3 linked regions of the Caenorhabditis elegans genome follow. The protein of the gene in region 1 purifies or fractionates together with the protein of each later gene. This does not show direct contact. Each region holds a gene or a part of one and is shown in the gene's direction. Other genes may lie near its edges.

Region 1 (4,848 bases):
TTATTACGGAACGAATGATCCAGTCGCTGAGAAGATTCTCAATCGTGCAGCTGCTGCTCCGACTCTTTCTCCACCTGCAGACACTACTATCACTACATTGTACATTGGAAATCTGGGTCCGTCTGGAGCTCAGCAAGTTACCGAAAAAGATTTGAATGATTTCTTTTATCAATATGGAGATATTCGTTGTCTTCGTGTGCTAACAGAGAAAGGATGTGCATTTATTGAGTTTACAACTCGTGAAGCTGCCGAACGTGCAGCTGAAAGATCATTCAACAAGACTTTTATCAAAGGAAAAAGATTGACGATTAGATGGGGAGAACCACAGGCCAAGAGAGCAGCAGATAACTCAAATTATGTTACTCCAGTACCATCAGTACCGATTTGTAAGTTTCTTTTCAATTTCAACAATAGAAACATAATTTTGAACAGATTATTTGCAATCAAAATGCGCCAGTTTGGCATGTTCTCCCAATCTTTTTCATTAAAACTTATTGAATAAATATAGAAAATCAATGACGTTCCAATAATTTTTGAGCACTTCTTTAATTGTTCAACTAAAATAAAAGCTATTCTCAGCAATAATATCATCAAAAAATTGCTCAGAAACTCGAAACACTAAAAGCGAAATTTTTTTTGATTTTACTAAAAATCGAAAATCGATAGAAATTCTTAGAAATTTTACCATAGAATATATTTTTTTAAATCAAATTTTGTTTATGTTAATGAAAACATGTAAATTTCTTCTAATAAGAAGAACAGTTACCGAAATTTTAAGCTATTCTTCGAAATATCAACAAAAAAAACGAAATGGTCGATTTTAGAAAAAAAAATCGAAAAACCGACACCCTTGATTCAGAGATTAAGAAAATATTGTTCTATTTATGTATATTCGATCACATAATTTACTTGAAAAATATTTGGAAAACATGCTACACTGGCATATTTTGTAGAATTGCTGGTCGGCACTGAATCTTTTTGAAACCTCTCGTTGTGACAAATTTTGATGTGAATTCTCTTCAAGGGAACAATTTTTAATCGCATCGTTTTCCACACACCAAAAATTGTTTCTAAAAGAAGATTTTTTCAACCAATCCTAAAGAGAAAAATGTTTCTTTATTTCGTTTTCTATTGTTGGCAGTTAGGTTAGGTGTCATGTTTCAAAAGCGGATTGGCGCCAGTCTTCCAACAATCATTATTTCCACATTCCCATGTTTCCCTTCCATGTACATTTTCTTAAATATTTTAATTTTCAGTGCCAGTGCCAGATGGTCTCGCCCCTTCAACATCATCACAACAAAGATTCACAGGATCAATGCCACGTCCACCAGCGCCACCAACTTTCGCTGCGCCAAGAAGTCTTGTTGTACCAAATGTACGGCCAGTGAAGGCTGGAGGTCAGTTTTATTTTTTTGAAGACGAATATTAGTATTAAAATATTTTCCAGAATCAAGCGGTGCGTCATCATCATCATCGATTTATTATCCGAGTCAAGATCCAACCCGTCTTGGCGCCAAGGGTGACGTTATTGAGTAAATTTTCAATTAGTTTATCACTTTCCTTTTCATTCTGTCCTCGTTCTGTAATTTTTCTTTCCATTTTTATTGTGTTTTGTTCAAACTTTAAAAAGAATCTTCCGTTCTTTTCTGAAAAAACTCCCTAATTATTCTTCTTCGGTCTCATGTTCGTTCTTACAATAAACATTTTTCGAACTTTCTAATTCTGATATTATCATTTTATTGGACTGGTCAAATCCATTTTTTCCTATTTTCATGTTGTCAAAGAACTTTCCTGAAATTTCAGAAAATCTTTTCAGATGGCCTTACTAAATATACAGGCAGTATCACCTCAAATGGATGCAAATTTCAATGCGAAAATTTTGAATTTTAGAATGATTGATGAAGGAAAGTATACGGTAAGTGTTGTCACTATAATTCAGAAAAAAAACGATGAAAATAAAACCCAGAGGCGAAATTTCGCGATTTTTTCGTCAAAATTACTGTACCCGGTCTCAACACGACAAATCTTGTTAAATTCGAAAAGGTGTGCGTCTTTAATGAATACCGTAATTTCGAACTCGTCTCAGCGGAATTTTCCATTTTCTTCTCTCAATTTGTCAAAATTTACATGTTTACTATTGTTATATTTGAGTATATGTTTTTTATTGAAAAAAAAAACTACGAAACATCGATAAACATTTTGCAGAAACAAACGTTTTTCCAAAAAAAATCGCAAAAATTCGCTGGGTAATAAGAATGATTTAGAATCCGAAAATAAAAAATTTGATGGTTTCTTAATTTGAAAAAAATGATGAGAAAACTGTCATAAAGCTAAGTTTGGTATCTAATTTTTGAACAACTATAATTTAAAAGTTTCATTAAAATCAAATAATCCCACAAGTTCCATAAAAGTACATTGAAACTTTTTGCAATTGAGTAATTTTCAGGTATATCGTATCCAAATCACAGTTGACACCTACACTTGGACCGTTGAACGACGTTATAGTGATTTTGACGCTTACGATGTACATCGATTTCTAGATCGAAAGAAATCATTTCTTCCTCCAAAGAAACGACTGGGAAACAAGGATCTCGAATTTATCGAAGAACGACGACTTGAATTGGAGAAGTATGTTCGAGCTCTTTTGGAATTAGAAGTTTGGTATCAAAAGCAGAAGAATGTGCATTCGCTTCCGTTGATTACAGCGAAGTTTTTCGATTTTCATCAATATGTAAGTTTTGCAGAAAATATCAAAATTTATTTGAACTGAGACCAAGGTGTTTCCAATAGAAAAAAATGTGGCAGAGAAAGAGGATAGGCGAATAAAGAAGAAATAGTGAAACTTATATACATCTAACTGACTGAGGTAAACTTTATGAAAGCATTGGGATAGGATATTGAAAATGAGCAAAGTGGCTCATTTTCAATTAGACAGGCAACTATTATTATTATTATTCATGCTCTTCTTCTTCATGATTGTGAATAGCTGCTGAAAGCTCATTTCTACTCAAAGCTGCACGTCGTTTCATTCTCCAGTATTGAAGACGTGTCCAAAGTTCACGAAGAGCGATGTAGATCATAGCAATATTCTTGACCGCAAACAGTGATGGATCAAACTTCTTTCCGTGTTGTTGAACTTCAAGCACAATGTACAGGTAGATACGGAGTCCGAGGAAAGGCCCATTGACAATGAGAACGTAGAGGAATGCCCAGAGCTTCTCACTTACGAGCAGGAATCGTGGAACTTTAGCGTAACGAAGTTTGGCGAGAGCGAAGGTTGGCATGAAGAAGTTGATACAGGCAACAATCAGGATTGTCAGTTCGAGCCATAGTTCTAGATTCCATTTGTCCTTCTGAAAAAAAGTAAATGAATTAGATACTAGGTAGTTTGTAGTTCGACTTACCGATGCTTGCCAAAGCAAGTCTAGGAAGTAGATATTATCGATAAGATCGAGGCAAATGGCAGCAACAAGATATGAGATGTACACTTGACGAACAGAAACCAATGGGGTATAGTGATGTGACTCGAAGATGAACAAGAAAATCAAAACGGACAGAGAAAGCCCAGCTTTGAACAGGAAGTCGTCGAAAAGTTTGTCATTGTTGTCAAGCGGCGTTGGAGGAATGTCCTCGTAGAACATGCGGAAGCACGTGGCAATTTTTGAGATCAGAATAAGGGAGTACGCTCCCCAGGCGAAGCAAGCGTATTTAACCCGACTGTCTGAAATATTTCATTAATTATCAGAGATCTTGAACTTTTTGAAAGTGTCAATCTAGTTGAATACAATAGTTCAAATAGATTAGAATACTGAAGAAACTCTTACAAACATTTGAACTTACCAATTGAACAGCACTCCTCCATTTGAACTGTATTGTATTTGATAGCCAATACTCCAAGTACTCCTAGTATCAGTAGAACCACAAAGTCTGGTCCAATCCAAGCGGCCCACACATTTTCTCCAGTGACATTCAAATAGTACCAATCTATCAATCCAAACTGTAGAACTACTAAAGCAAGACTAATTATTAATGCAAATGAATCAAGAAAGGCTCGCACACAGCGGCCAGGAAGAACTGCCATTGCTGAATTTGTAGTCTTCGATTGTGAGATTAGAGCAGCAGTCTGCTCCGGTGGTACTTTAATTGGGAATTCTTCTGCTCCTTCGTAGTACTCGAAATGAGCGATTCGTTCGTCTCCGTTTTCTTCAATTGATTCTTCAGTAATATGTCGTGGATCTCTGCCGGACTCCAAGCGAGTATTTTCTGTAACAGGACATGATTGAGAGGGTGACGGTTGCGGAAACCATGGATTTTGAAGGGGATCTTCCGAAGGTTTTGGTGACTCAATATGATGATAGCGAATTGATGAATCGACACCGGGAAAGAGCAAGTGTGCCATTTGGTGAGAAAAGAAGAAAGAAAGGAAGGAGTTTTGAAAAGAGCGAAGACTGTTTGCATTGCACGGATGCGACTTCCCATGGGCATTTTTCCTCTATTTTTCAAACTGTTTTCGGAACGGAAAAAAGGAAAAGAAAGGTCGTCCGAGAAATCGAGATAGTCTGGTTTAAGAGGATTACTAAAGGCAAGGATAGGGCTGGATCGGTGATCGTTAAAAAAACCCAGTGGACAGGAAGAATACAATAGAATGGCAAGATGAATAAAAAGAAAACAGAGAAAGAAAATAAATCTTGTAGTAGAGAATGTTCGAATTTGGTCCTACTTTGGATTCAAATGAAGTACTACAAATCCAGTTCATATCCGAACTTCAAGTTCTACATTTGAGGAATTATTTAGATGTTCAATCTAAAGACCTTCTTAACTACGTTCTGACAAAACGAATCAAGTAGT
Region 2 (4,168 bases), on another chromosome or scaffold:
AAATCTTCGAAATTTTCCCCATTTTCCCCGTACATCAGCGTGTTTTCCATCGCAAATTGGTCGAGTTCCAGTCTGTTTGCAGTCACACATTGGATAAATTCCAGTTTTTTCAACTTGAAAACTGACGGGGCGAACGTTGGTTAATCCGGGCGTTTTGTGGGTTCCGTCGCAGAATGGCTGCAAAAAATTTTTGGATTTTTCAGGAATTTTCCGGTTTTTTAAGGCATTTTTCAGTGTTAAAATCGTCGTCGAATTTCACACGCCTAGCACCCTTTTTCTGGGTCTCTAGATTTAAATTTGAATTTCGAGGGGTACGGTAGTCCCAAAAGTACGCAAACACCGAGTGCCTTGCGTACTTGGCACCGAACTTTACGACAATTAGTCTAAATTGACTGAAAATCGGGTTAGGGGGGGAAAATGTGATGGAGAACTCGAATTTTGTACTGAAAATGTGTGAAAATGTGTGAAAATCATTGAAAATTTGGGCATAGCTTCCGCATGTCCGAGTGACAAATGTGCTCTATTGCCAAATTGTTGGCAGAAATACGGTATTTATTCACATTTTCAGCCAATTTAAGACTGAAAATGTGAATAAACACAGTATTTATGCCAGAAATCTGAGAAACGCACAAGTCACAGGGGAATTATCGATTTTTAGAAGATTTTTCGTTTTCAGATTGGTGGCCTAGAAATCCCAAAAGTTAGGCCGCCAATCTATTTTGAGCGAAAAAACCAATTTCTAGGGGTAAAAATGAGTGAAAAACTTAATTTTTAACTGAAAATTTGGGCAAAATCACTAGAAATGTGATTAAAAATATTTAAACGCGAAAAATGACCGGAATTCTAATTTTAGGGCAAAATTCGTTAATTATAGCTGCAATAACCAAATTTTTGAGCAGAAAATCGCAAAAAATCTTTATTTCCAGCGTTTTTCGTAACAAAAATAGACCGTCTGAGCTTTTTCCGGGAAAATTAGGGTAATTTTCGAAAAATGTTGGATTTTTCTAGAATATTGATTAAAATTTGAGCAAAAATGAGCTTTTTTTGTAATTTTTTCACTAGCATTCACGTTTAACAAAATTTTGGGTTTCATCACGACTTTAAAGGCACATAGGCGCCATTTTAAGCCTAAAATAGCTAAATTTTATCAATTTTCCGCGATTTTTTCGGCATTTTAGCTGTTTTTCGACGATTTCCATGAGAAAATGCTCGAAAATAAGCACCTGAGTGATGCTCAACCCGCATGAGCACCAATGATACGTTTTTCCGGCTTCAAGCTTCACACGATTCGACTTTGTGCCTGCTGGCTGCCCTTTGTACGGCAAAACGTCTGCAGAATAGCTTTGAACAACGACGCCACGTGCTTTTCCACGAATCGATGATTGCTGGAAATTTTGAAATTTTTTTCAGTGATTTTTCGCGGAAATTGGTGAAAATCTGGCAAAAATCGGGATTTTTTCGCAGAAAAAAAAATTTCAGCGATTTTGATTGATTTTCCACGACTTTTCCAGCTTTTTCAGTCGAAATTGACAATTTTCCACTAATAACTCACAATCGGCGCGGCTGCCTGAAGCTTTTGGCACGTTCTTCCGAGCATGGCTCAATTCGACCTGAAAATCGAGGTTTTTGAGGTGAAAAATAGGTTTTTAATGGATTTTCGCATACAAATTCATGATTTTTCAATATTTTAAGCGAAAAAATCGTGAAAAACCACGGATTTTCAGAGGAAAATCACTAAAAATGGCTGAAAACAAATTTGCCCGTGGAGCGAGCAAGCGCGCTCCAGTGAGAAACAGTTGGGATTTCTAGGCCGCGGCCACGGGAATTTATATAATTTTTTTCATTTTCCGGCGTTTTTACATGATTTTCCTCGAATTTCTCGCATTTTTCGATATTCCAGGCAATGAAACTCAATTCCAACGTGAAAATCGTCGCAAAAAAGTGCATTTTAGTGCCGTACGAGCCGTGCCACGTTGCAAAATACCACAAATGGATGGAAAACGAGGAGATTCGCCGACTCACCGGCTCTGAACAATTGTCGTTGGATGAGGAATATGAAATGCAGAAAACTTGGCGAAATGATGAGGATAAACTAACGTTTATCGTTCTTGAAATGAATGAAAGTGGAGAAGAAGTAGGGATTTTTCAGGAAAACCCCGTTTTTTTCAAGTTTTTGCCTCCAAAAATTTGAAATTCACGGGCTCAGAACCGTTTTGAATTAAAAATAGACCAAAAAATTGGGAAAATAGCATTATAACCACTCGAAAATCGACTTTTCCGCCAAAAACTACGACACTCCTAGTACGCCACAGCGCGTGTTGTTTAGCGCTGGTCACCCGCGAATTCAAATTTTTGACTTAAAATTGGGGTTTTTTACACTTTTTTGCCGATTTCAATGTGAAAAATCACTAAAAATTCTGTTTTTATCAAAAATTTTTGCATTTTCGAAAAGAAAAGTGTGTTTTTTTCCGATTTTTTTTTTGGAAATTTTCCGAAATTTCAGGTAGATCACATGCTTGGCGATGTGAATTTGTTCATTTCCACGTCACCGTCCACTGAAAACCCTAGCGATGACGTCATCACTGGTGAGGTAGAGGTTATGATAGCGGAGCCACGTGGCAGAGGAAAAGGCATTGGAGAGGAGGCTGTGAGGGTTATTATTGCGTGGGCGTATGAGGTAAAATACTTTTTTTCTTCTAAAAAAAAGTTTTTGTTGGATGTAAAAGTTGAAAAAAAAATTTTGAAAAAAAATTCTGAAACAATTTTTTTTTTCAGAATTTTTTTTGTCAAATTTCTCCTAACTAATTTCTTTTATAAAAATTCGAGTTCTCCTCACTCCCAGCTTCAAAATGACCCCCCATCACGCACTGGTTCCGCGTAGTTTGAAAATTTTAGGTCTCGCCACGCGGGTTACTGTAGCACCGATATCAGCTGTGTCGGTGGGAAAAATGCGCGGAACATAGGCTTGTAGGGGTCAATTTAAAGCTGGTGACGTGGAGAATATGAATTTTAACATGATTTTTGACAGTTTTGAAAATTAAAAAAATTTTAGTTCGAAAAAAAATTGAATTTTTTTTTGTTTTTCAGAAAAATTTTATTCTTCAAAATTTCTCGATTTTGAGCTGAAATTCGAGTTCTCCACACTTTCAGCGTCAAAATGACCCCCATCATGTCCTGGTTCCGCGCAATTTGAAAATTTTGGGTCTCGCCACGCGGGTTACTGTAGCACCGATATCAGCTGTGTCGGTTGTCAAATTGAACGGAATATGGTCGTGTTGGGGGTCATTTTGAAGCTGAAAATGAGGAGAATAAGAATTTTGACATGGTTTTTGACAGTTTTGAAAAATGAGCAAAAAAAATATTTTTTTCGAAAATTTTCAATTTTTCAGAATCTGAAAATCGAGCAATTCTGCGTAAAAATTACCGATGACAACACACCAAGCCTGAGCCTATTCAAGAAGAAACTAGGATTCAAACAAATCGGCTATAGCACTGCTTTCAAGGAATTCACATTTGAATTGCCGAAAAATCGATTGATTTCTGAATTTTCGAGTTTTTTGGAGAAAAATGCAGAAATTAAGGAGTATAAATAATTATTTGTGTACTTTTACATTGAAAATAAATGTTTTTCAAAAAAAAAAAATTTTTTGTAAAAATTTTTTTCACTATATTTTTTACAAAATTCCAAAATTCTGTGTTCAGAAGCTTTTTTTAATGCAAAATATATCAAAAAATTGAGATAAAAGCCTTAAAACCACTCGATAATCCAATTTTCCGCCAAAAACTACGACACTCCGCTAGTACGCCACAGCGCGTGTTGTTTAGCAGCCCGGGAATTCAAATTTTTTACTTACAATTGAGGTTTTATCCCGTTTTTTGCCGATTTTAATGGGGAAAAATCATTAAAAATGCAGTTTTTATCAAATATTTCTAAAAATAACAACAAAAAACATGAAAAATCAACGAAAAATCTCCTAATTTCGATACAAAAAATGCTCATTATCGAGGCAAGAATCCTTGAATTTTCGATTTCTGTAGAGTTGAATGAAATATTTGGCGGCTCGATCAAAATCCCATCTTTCTCCAATACTTTGTTGAATTCTAAAGTCATTTGCAGCGCAAGTTAGGGCCAAAACTTGCTGAATATCATCAATTGGAGCCTGTTTCG
Region 3 (6,964 bases), on another chromosome or scaffold:
GACGTCTACAAACGACACTGTTTAGCGCAAGAAGCATGCTCTATTGATAAAATGGTTTCAGCGAATTTTAAAAATTTCAGAGAAACTTTAGTTCGACTTTAAAATAGTGCACGGATTAAACAGAAAACCTGAAAAAATAAAACTGTTGAATAGCCTGAATGAAAAAATTTATGATTGCGATAGATAGCCCGGTTTTGAAATAAATAAAAAATCACAGAAGCAAATAACTGCCACCACTAGTACAAGTACACAAGAAAGACGGTTGAATACACTGAATAATATTATGTTTTAAAATTAGTCATCTTCGTCGGAGCTTTCGCTAAGTGCCAATCCATACTTCTCCTCAGAATCTTTGTTTTTATTTCCACTACTTGATATATAGGGAGCCACGTGGCTTTCTTTGTGATTGTAGGTATTTGAAGACGAAGGCGGTGCGGGTTCTCTTTCTGTATATGGTTTGGGCTTTTTCATTTCTTCCAATAATATCTTCTCGCTCTCATCTTCATCATCACTGGAATCGCCATTCGATTTGTCGGAATCAGATGATCCATCAGAATCACTACTCGAATCTGATGTATCTCTCTGCATTTGTTTCTGAATTTTCGCTTTCTCCTCCGGTGAAGATGGTCCAGATCGCTGATTATTAGAAGAAGTTCTCAATCTTTCGATTCCACGTTTCAATGCGAGTTCTGTTCCTTGATCTAGATCTCTCGTCTTTTTTACATTAATATTGCTCGTAATTTTCTCCAAGCGAACTGTGTTGGTCTTTTTGTCGAAGAACAGAAGACATTCTTTCGGTTTTGCTTCTTTTTTCGATCCTTTATATACAGTCATATTGTCTCCTTCGCTTGGTACAGAGACATGTACATCACCGCTGTTCCCAAACGCTATGAAGGTGTCGGCATTGTTTGATACAGAGCTTGGCTTGAAATCGTCTGTAAATTTTAGCTATTTCGATTTTATATTTTTAAATTTCTGATATATTTAATCTTAAAATTGTGCAGTTAACCTACATCTTAGCGTGTGAAATTGCTCTGCCTTAGGGTCACTTTTCCGTCCTTTTACTTCAAATGACTTCCCGAGGGTCAAGGTGTAAGTACCATTCGGAATATCACTTGACTCTGCCATGTGAAACTGAAAAAATGATTATTATTAAATCATATGTGAATATTTTGAATTTTTTAATTTGAAAAAAAAATCGATAATTTTATTATATATTACAATGAAATTCTTCAGAATAGTGCCAATTGTGTGCGCGAGAGTACCATTAGCTGTGGGCGGAGTCTTCGGTTGGCAAGCCTGGCACGCCGTTTTGCAAGTGTGCGGCACAGTGTTGACCTCGGCGCTTTACCATTTTTATGCCGGCTTTCTTTCCTATTTTCATTCAAAACGCTATAATTAGATGAATTTGTACATAAATTATTAAATTATATTCAACTACTGAAAAAGTATCAAAATCATGAAAAAACTTAGTGGGAAAATAGTTTACATTGGATTTTAAACCGTCGACATATCGCATTTATCGATTTTTCAAAAATAAGCGTTTGGAATATTTGCTATTCGTTAAAATTAGCACATCCACCTTTACTCTTAATTCTGCAATTGTATCTTTCCACTATTCCTTTTATTCAGTTTATTTTCTCGCTTCGCATTATCGATTTTAATTTGAATTGGCTTTTTTCAGAACAAAACTCTCATCAGTGGGATCACCATGGAGACGGAAGTGATGAAATCGTTTAATAATGAATTGTCGTCACTATTCGACTCGAAAAACATGAGCAAGAACAAGATTCAGGATATAACAAAGGCTGCGATCAAAGCAAAAAGCCAATATAAGCATGTGGTTTTTTCAGTTGAAAAACTTATCAATAAGGTTAGAATGATTTCGAGAAATCGAAATTTAAATTAAATAATTTATTTATTTTTATTAATGATTTTTCAGTGCAAGCCAGATCAACGTCTAAATGTGCTCTATGTAATCGATTCAATAGTCCGTGCTTCAAAACATCAACTTAAAGAAAAAGACACATTTGGCCCACGGTTTATGAAGCAGTTTGACAAGTTTTTGATGCCGCTGTTAAAGTGTGGACAGAAAGAGAAAATGAGAACAGTTAGAACTCTTAATTTGTGGATGTCCAATAAAGTTTTCAAGGAATCAGAGATTCAACCACTGAGAGAGATGTGCAAGGCTTCTGGATTAAGTAAGTAATTATGGTGGAGAATTCAAAAAAAAAGTTTGATTTTTAGCTATCGATTTCGAGGAAGTTGAGCTCGCCGTGAAGGGAAAACAGGCTGATATGAGCATTTATTCCGGAGTTTACAAGAAAAAGCCAAAAAGGTCTTCATCATCGTCTCAACCGAAATCTCGTACTCCTACAAATCCACATCCGGATGATGGACTTCTCGGTGCTGGACCATCATCTGCTCTGAGATCTGTCCCAGATATTCCGAACTTTGTGCTTTCTGAAGATTACTTCCTTGGAACTATTTCTGAGAGAGAAATGTTGGAATTGGTTCAGAAGTTCGGCATAGATCGCAGTGGAGTTTTAAGTAAGGACAAGAATCTTCTCCAGAGAGCACTTCAAATATTCGCTGGATCCTTGAGTCAAAAAGTAGAAGAAGTTCTAGCGGAGAATAATCGGATTAATGGAAGTAGTATACAGAATGTGTTAACAAAAGATTTTGAATACTCGGATGATGAAGAAGAGAAGGAAAAGGAACCACAACCAGAGAAACAGAAAAATCTGCCACATGCTCAAGTCCTGTTGTGAGTTTTTGATGCATTTTATTTTTTTCTTAATTCCAGAATGTTTCTAATTTTTTTTTCAAATTCTAGATTGGCTCAAAGTTTGCTTACTCAACCTCAAATACTCGCAAAACTCGCTGAAGTCTTGATACCTCAAGGAAATCCATTTGGTCTTCCGTTCCCAGGCGAACATATTGTTCCAACATCGTCAGCAGCTTTAACATTGGGAGCTCCACCACCAAATCTGATGGCTCTTCAACAATCTCTGCCGCCAGGTTTTCCAAATCAACAGCTCGGACTTCCAAATCTCTCAGGCCTCAACCAAGCCCAACTGATGAATGTTCAAAATGCTCAGAATATGCTCCAACTGCAACAACGTGCTGCTCAACTTCAAGCTCTACAAGGAAATCCAAATGCTCAGCGAAATCTTCTTATGCTTGGAAATCCATTGCTTAATCCATTTGCTCTTCAACATGGTGTTAATCCAATGTTAAATGACCTCCAAGCCGCCGCAGCAGCTCAACAGCAAGCAATGTTGAATGAAGCCGCACAGAGTCCAGAGAAAAAAATATTGGAATTAAGTGGTGGAAATAGTGGAATTAACAATAGTGGAGATGTGGAACGAGCTCGATTAAGGGAAAAAGAGAAGGAAAGAGAGAGCAAAGAGAGAAGAAGAATGGGATTGCCACCTGTTAGAATTGGATTTACTATTAGTATGTTTTACAACAACGAGTTGCGATTTTGTATGATTTTACAAGAAGAGCTAAAAAACTTCCAAAAAAAAGGGATTTTTGGATGATTTCAATTTTGATTTTAAAAATAATAAAATCATTCGAAGTCTTTTTCGTATAAAAAATTGGTGCTCCTTGTAAAAATCATACAAAATCACTATGAAATAATTCCTGAAATATTGTATCGAAACAATATCTTAACAAATTTATTGAAATTCAAACAAATTAATATTTTCTTCAATTTACAGTCGCCTCACGTACACTTTGGCTCAAGAAAATCCCCACAAATATAGTTGAAAACGATTTGAAGCAAGCCGTCGAATCATGTGGAGAAGCATCTCGTGTTAAAGTTATCGGAAATCGTGCATGCGCCTACATCACAATGGAAAATCGAAGATCTGCGAACGATGTTGTTTCAAAAATGCGTGAAGTTTCGGTCGCCAAGAAAATGGTCAAAGTTTACTGGGCAAGAAGTCCTGGGATGGATTCAGATCAATTTTCTGATTTATGGGATTCTAATCGTGGAGTCTTGGAAATCCCATATGAAAAACTTCCGCTGGATTTAGTGGCACTTTGTGAAGGAGCTATGTTGGATATTGAATCTCTACCAATTGAAAAGAAATTGCTTTATAAAGAAACCGGCGAAACAGTGATTTCTATACCACCACCAAATATTCAACCTCCAGTCCCACATCCACCTCCAATGGGTTTCCCATTCCAACATCAACTCACACAATTACCCGGTCAACCAAGACCTGCAGGTCTTCCTCCAGGTGTTCCACCGATGGTAATTTATCTCTTTAATAATGATTTTTGTAGACTTTTATATCTTACCAAATTAATTTCAGTTCAATCTCAATGCTCCACCACCACCCGGAATTCCAGGATATCCACCGGCTCCACCACCGCCAGGAGTTGGTCCTCCACCACCACAGGGTATTCCACCAATGGGATTCGATCCAAATAAGCCACCACCACCAATGGTAAGAAGTTATTAAAGGATGACTTCTGAGTTTTTGGATTGTAAAGACTCGAAATTTGCCCAAATGAACGAGTTTCGGTGGTTCAAAATTTCGAAAAAATGAAAAAATTTATGCTAAAAGAAAACAGAAAACTCGGCCACCCATTTAAAATAAAAAAGAAAAATTTTCATTCGAAAATCGCCACCACAGAACGATATAAACCCTTTATAAGATCATTTTCGGCAAGTTTCAGAAAAATCTGGGTGCATGATTTTCCTAGGTCACGTAGTAAAACCCGCTCTATGTTATTTAAAATGTCTATTCTAATCAAAAATTTCAGTTCCAACAAGGATTCAACGCTGGCGCACCACCACCACCATTTGGCCGTGGAGCTGGTCCAATGAGCTCATTCCCACCACCACCACGTGGCGGTATGCATCATATGCCACCACCACCATCATTCCGTGGTGGACGTGGAGGACACGGTGGTCCACCACCACCACATTTTGATAGACGAGGTGGTGGAGGTCCACCATTCCGTCCGGAAAATGGACGTGGACGTCTTTTGGATCAATCTGAAATGTGGAATCGTGAACAACGAGAGATGCGCGGCGGCGGTGGTGCAGGAAGAGATGGAGGAAGAGAACATCGTGATTATGATCGTGATCGTTCTCAAATTGATCGTCGTAGACAAGATGATATGGGAGCTAGGAGACGTTCTCGTTGGGGAGATGATGATCGTCGTGATGATGACCGCCGTGATGATAGACGTGATGATCGTCGTGAATCAAGGTTTGTTAGACTGATCTGTAATTAAAGTGGAGTAGGCATGAAAAAATGCAAATTGTCTCAAATTCAGAAGTACCACAAAAGAAAAACGAAAAAGCTGCGTTAAATTTGAAAAAAAAACAGCGCTTTTGCAACTCCTGCTAACATCCAAAAATTTTCAAATAAGAAACAATTATTGAGTATTTCTGGCCTTTGCTAAAAATTATAAAAATTGGAAAAACCGCACAAAAAAAGCAGAGTTTGCGTCGAAATTGGAAAAAAAGCCGAACTGCGGCATTGTTTTAGGCGGAGTTCAGAGTCAAACGCGCGGTAATTCAAATTAGGAGATTAGCAAGAGTTGTAAAATCGTAAAAATAATATTTTCATGCTTCATGCATTTTTTTTTCATTTCCTTTTTGTAGTTAATTGGCCAGCTTGAGTATTTTGAAGTAAAATTCCCATTGATGGAACTCCACCTTTAATCAATAAAAAATTAATCAAAACAAAGTTACAGACGCCGCTCTCCACGGTCTCCACGTTCCCCGGATCGGCGTACAAGACGTTCTCCAAGCTATGAAAGAGAGGAACCACCAGTCAAAAAAACTAGTGGTAAATTGCAAAAAAAAAAATAGATTGAAATTTCTAATTATTTCAATATTTTCAGTCGAAGAAGAAACCGTATCCTCTACAACCCTTGATGAATTGAAACCATCAGTCGAACCGACTCCAGTTCCAGCACCAATTCCAGCTCCAGCTCCAGAGCTTAAAGCTGCAGAAGAGCCAGTGAAAATTGTTGCAGAACATCATGAAGATCAGACTGATGAGGTGCCGATGGATCTTGAATAAGGAATTATAGAGATATTGAATTGAATACTTAATAATGTTTAAAAGCATTGCATCTACTTGAATTTAAACAATTTTTTTTTTTTAAACTTGTTTTACTCAATTAGTCGAAAACTTCTTCTACTCCATAACCTGTGTATGTAATTGAATCTTCATTTCCATGAATCTCTTGTTCTCCGGGACATATTGTTTAATCCTGATGCTTTCAATTGTTTTTTGACTTTATTGTAAGATTTAATTTTCATGGCCCACTTACCCCTTTCTCGCTCGCCCTAAATTCTTCGTTTTTTATGATCATTTGTCTCCCTTATGTACCCACATTTTCTTTTTCTTTGTTTTTTTCTCTCTATTTTATTAATATGTCTCAATGAACAATATATTATTATATTGTTGAGATATCACAAATGACCAGCTCCAGTGGTTTGTCGTCAATGATGCATCTTATCAGTTGAATAATGTAAACGGCCTGTTACACAGAAGTAATAAAAAGTCGCAGGCTCCGGGTTCAAAGTCAACCGTGTCTGTGAGCCAGCCCGCAACGAAAATATTAGCCTGACTATGTGAAAAACCACATTTTTATGGGCCCCCACGCTGGTTTCATGTGTTCAAATAGTTTGACAAGTACTTTGAAGTTATGATAAGGAATTTGGAAAATGTCAACAACTGGGTTATCAGTAAATTATTCCTATTTTTGAAACTTTTTTTCTAAAAATATTTAAAAAAAAACCCAGACGCGAAATGTTGCGATTTTTCTCCAAATATACGGTACCTGGTCTCGACACGACAAAAAATGCCTTTAAATGGGTACTGTACTCTCGAACTTTCTTTTTCTGCAGACTTTACATGGGTTTTTTAATAGTTTTCTTTTCAGATTAAAAAAATTATTATTCAATTGATAAAAAAACTGGTTAATA

Evidence for each region. Proteins that work in one complex are often made in the same cells at the same time.
Region 2: the proteins of nish-1 (region 1) and Y67D2.5 fractionate together in Caenorhabditis elegans (co-fractionation; one large-scale study listed by BioGRID). This does not show direct contact.
Region 3: the proteins of nish-1 (region 1) and nrd-1 fractionate together in Caenorhabditis elegans (co-fractionation; one large-scale study listed by BioGRID). This does not show direct contact.

Annotation. Positions count from the first base shown.
Region 1 is NC_003282.8:10,862,515-10,867,362, forward strand, and holds the start of nish-1 (PX domain-containing protein), read left to right. Parts: upstream 1-1,816; coding exon 1,817-1,915; intron 1,916-2,446; coding exon 2,447-2,731; intron 2,732-2,743; exon of another isoform or gene 2,744-2,951; coding exon of another isoform or gene 2,952-3,353; intron 3,354-3,404; coding exon of another isoform or gene 3,405-3,721; intron 3,722-3,840; coding exon of another isoform or gene 3,841-4,263; intron 4,264-4,848. Other genes in the region: rbm-22 (Pre-mRNA-splicing factor RBM22), read left to right, coding at 1-386, 1,257-1,397, 1,448-1,536; F13E9.11 (uncharacterized protein), read right to left, coding at 2,952-3,353, 3,405-3,721, 3,841-4,263.
Region 2 is NC_003281.10:1,537,935-1,542,102, reverse strand, and holds Y67D2.5 (N-acetyltransferase 9-like protein), read left to right. Parts: upstream 1-1,858; 5' UTR 1,859-1,903; coding exon 1,904-2,134; intron 2,135-2,503; coding exon 2,504-2,677; intron 2,678-3,389; coding exon 3,390-3,593; 3' UTR 3,594-3,632; downstream 3,633-4,168. Other genes in the region: cisd-3.2 (Iron-binding zinc finger CDGSH type domain-containing protein), read right to left, coding at 34-177, 1,224-1,385, 1,553-1,597; mtg-1 (CP-type G domain-containing protein), read right to left, coding at 3,975-4,168.
Region 3 is NC_003279.8:4,597,387-4,604,350, reverse strand, and holds nrd-1 (CID domain-containing protein), read left to right. Parts: upstream 1-1,684; 5' UTR 1,685-1,711; coding exon 1,712-1,873; intron 1,874-1,942; coding exon 1,943-2,201; intron 2,202-2,247; coding exon 2,248-2,767; intron 2,768-2,836; coding exon 2,837-3,459; intron 3,460-3,725; coding exon 3,726-4,264; intron 4,265-4,325; coding exon 4,326-4,460; intron 4,461-4,779; coding exon 4,780-5,231; intron 5,232-5,721; coding exon 5,722-5,816; intron 5,817-5,871; coding exon 5,872-6,053; 3' UTR 6,054-6,428; downstream 6,429-6,964. Other genes in the region: eaf-1 (Ell-associated factor Eaf), read right to left, coding at 295-935, 1,014-1,128.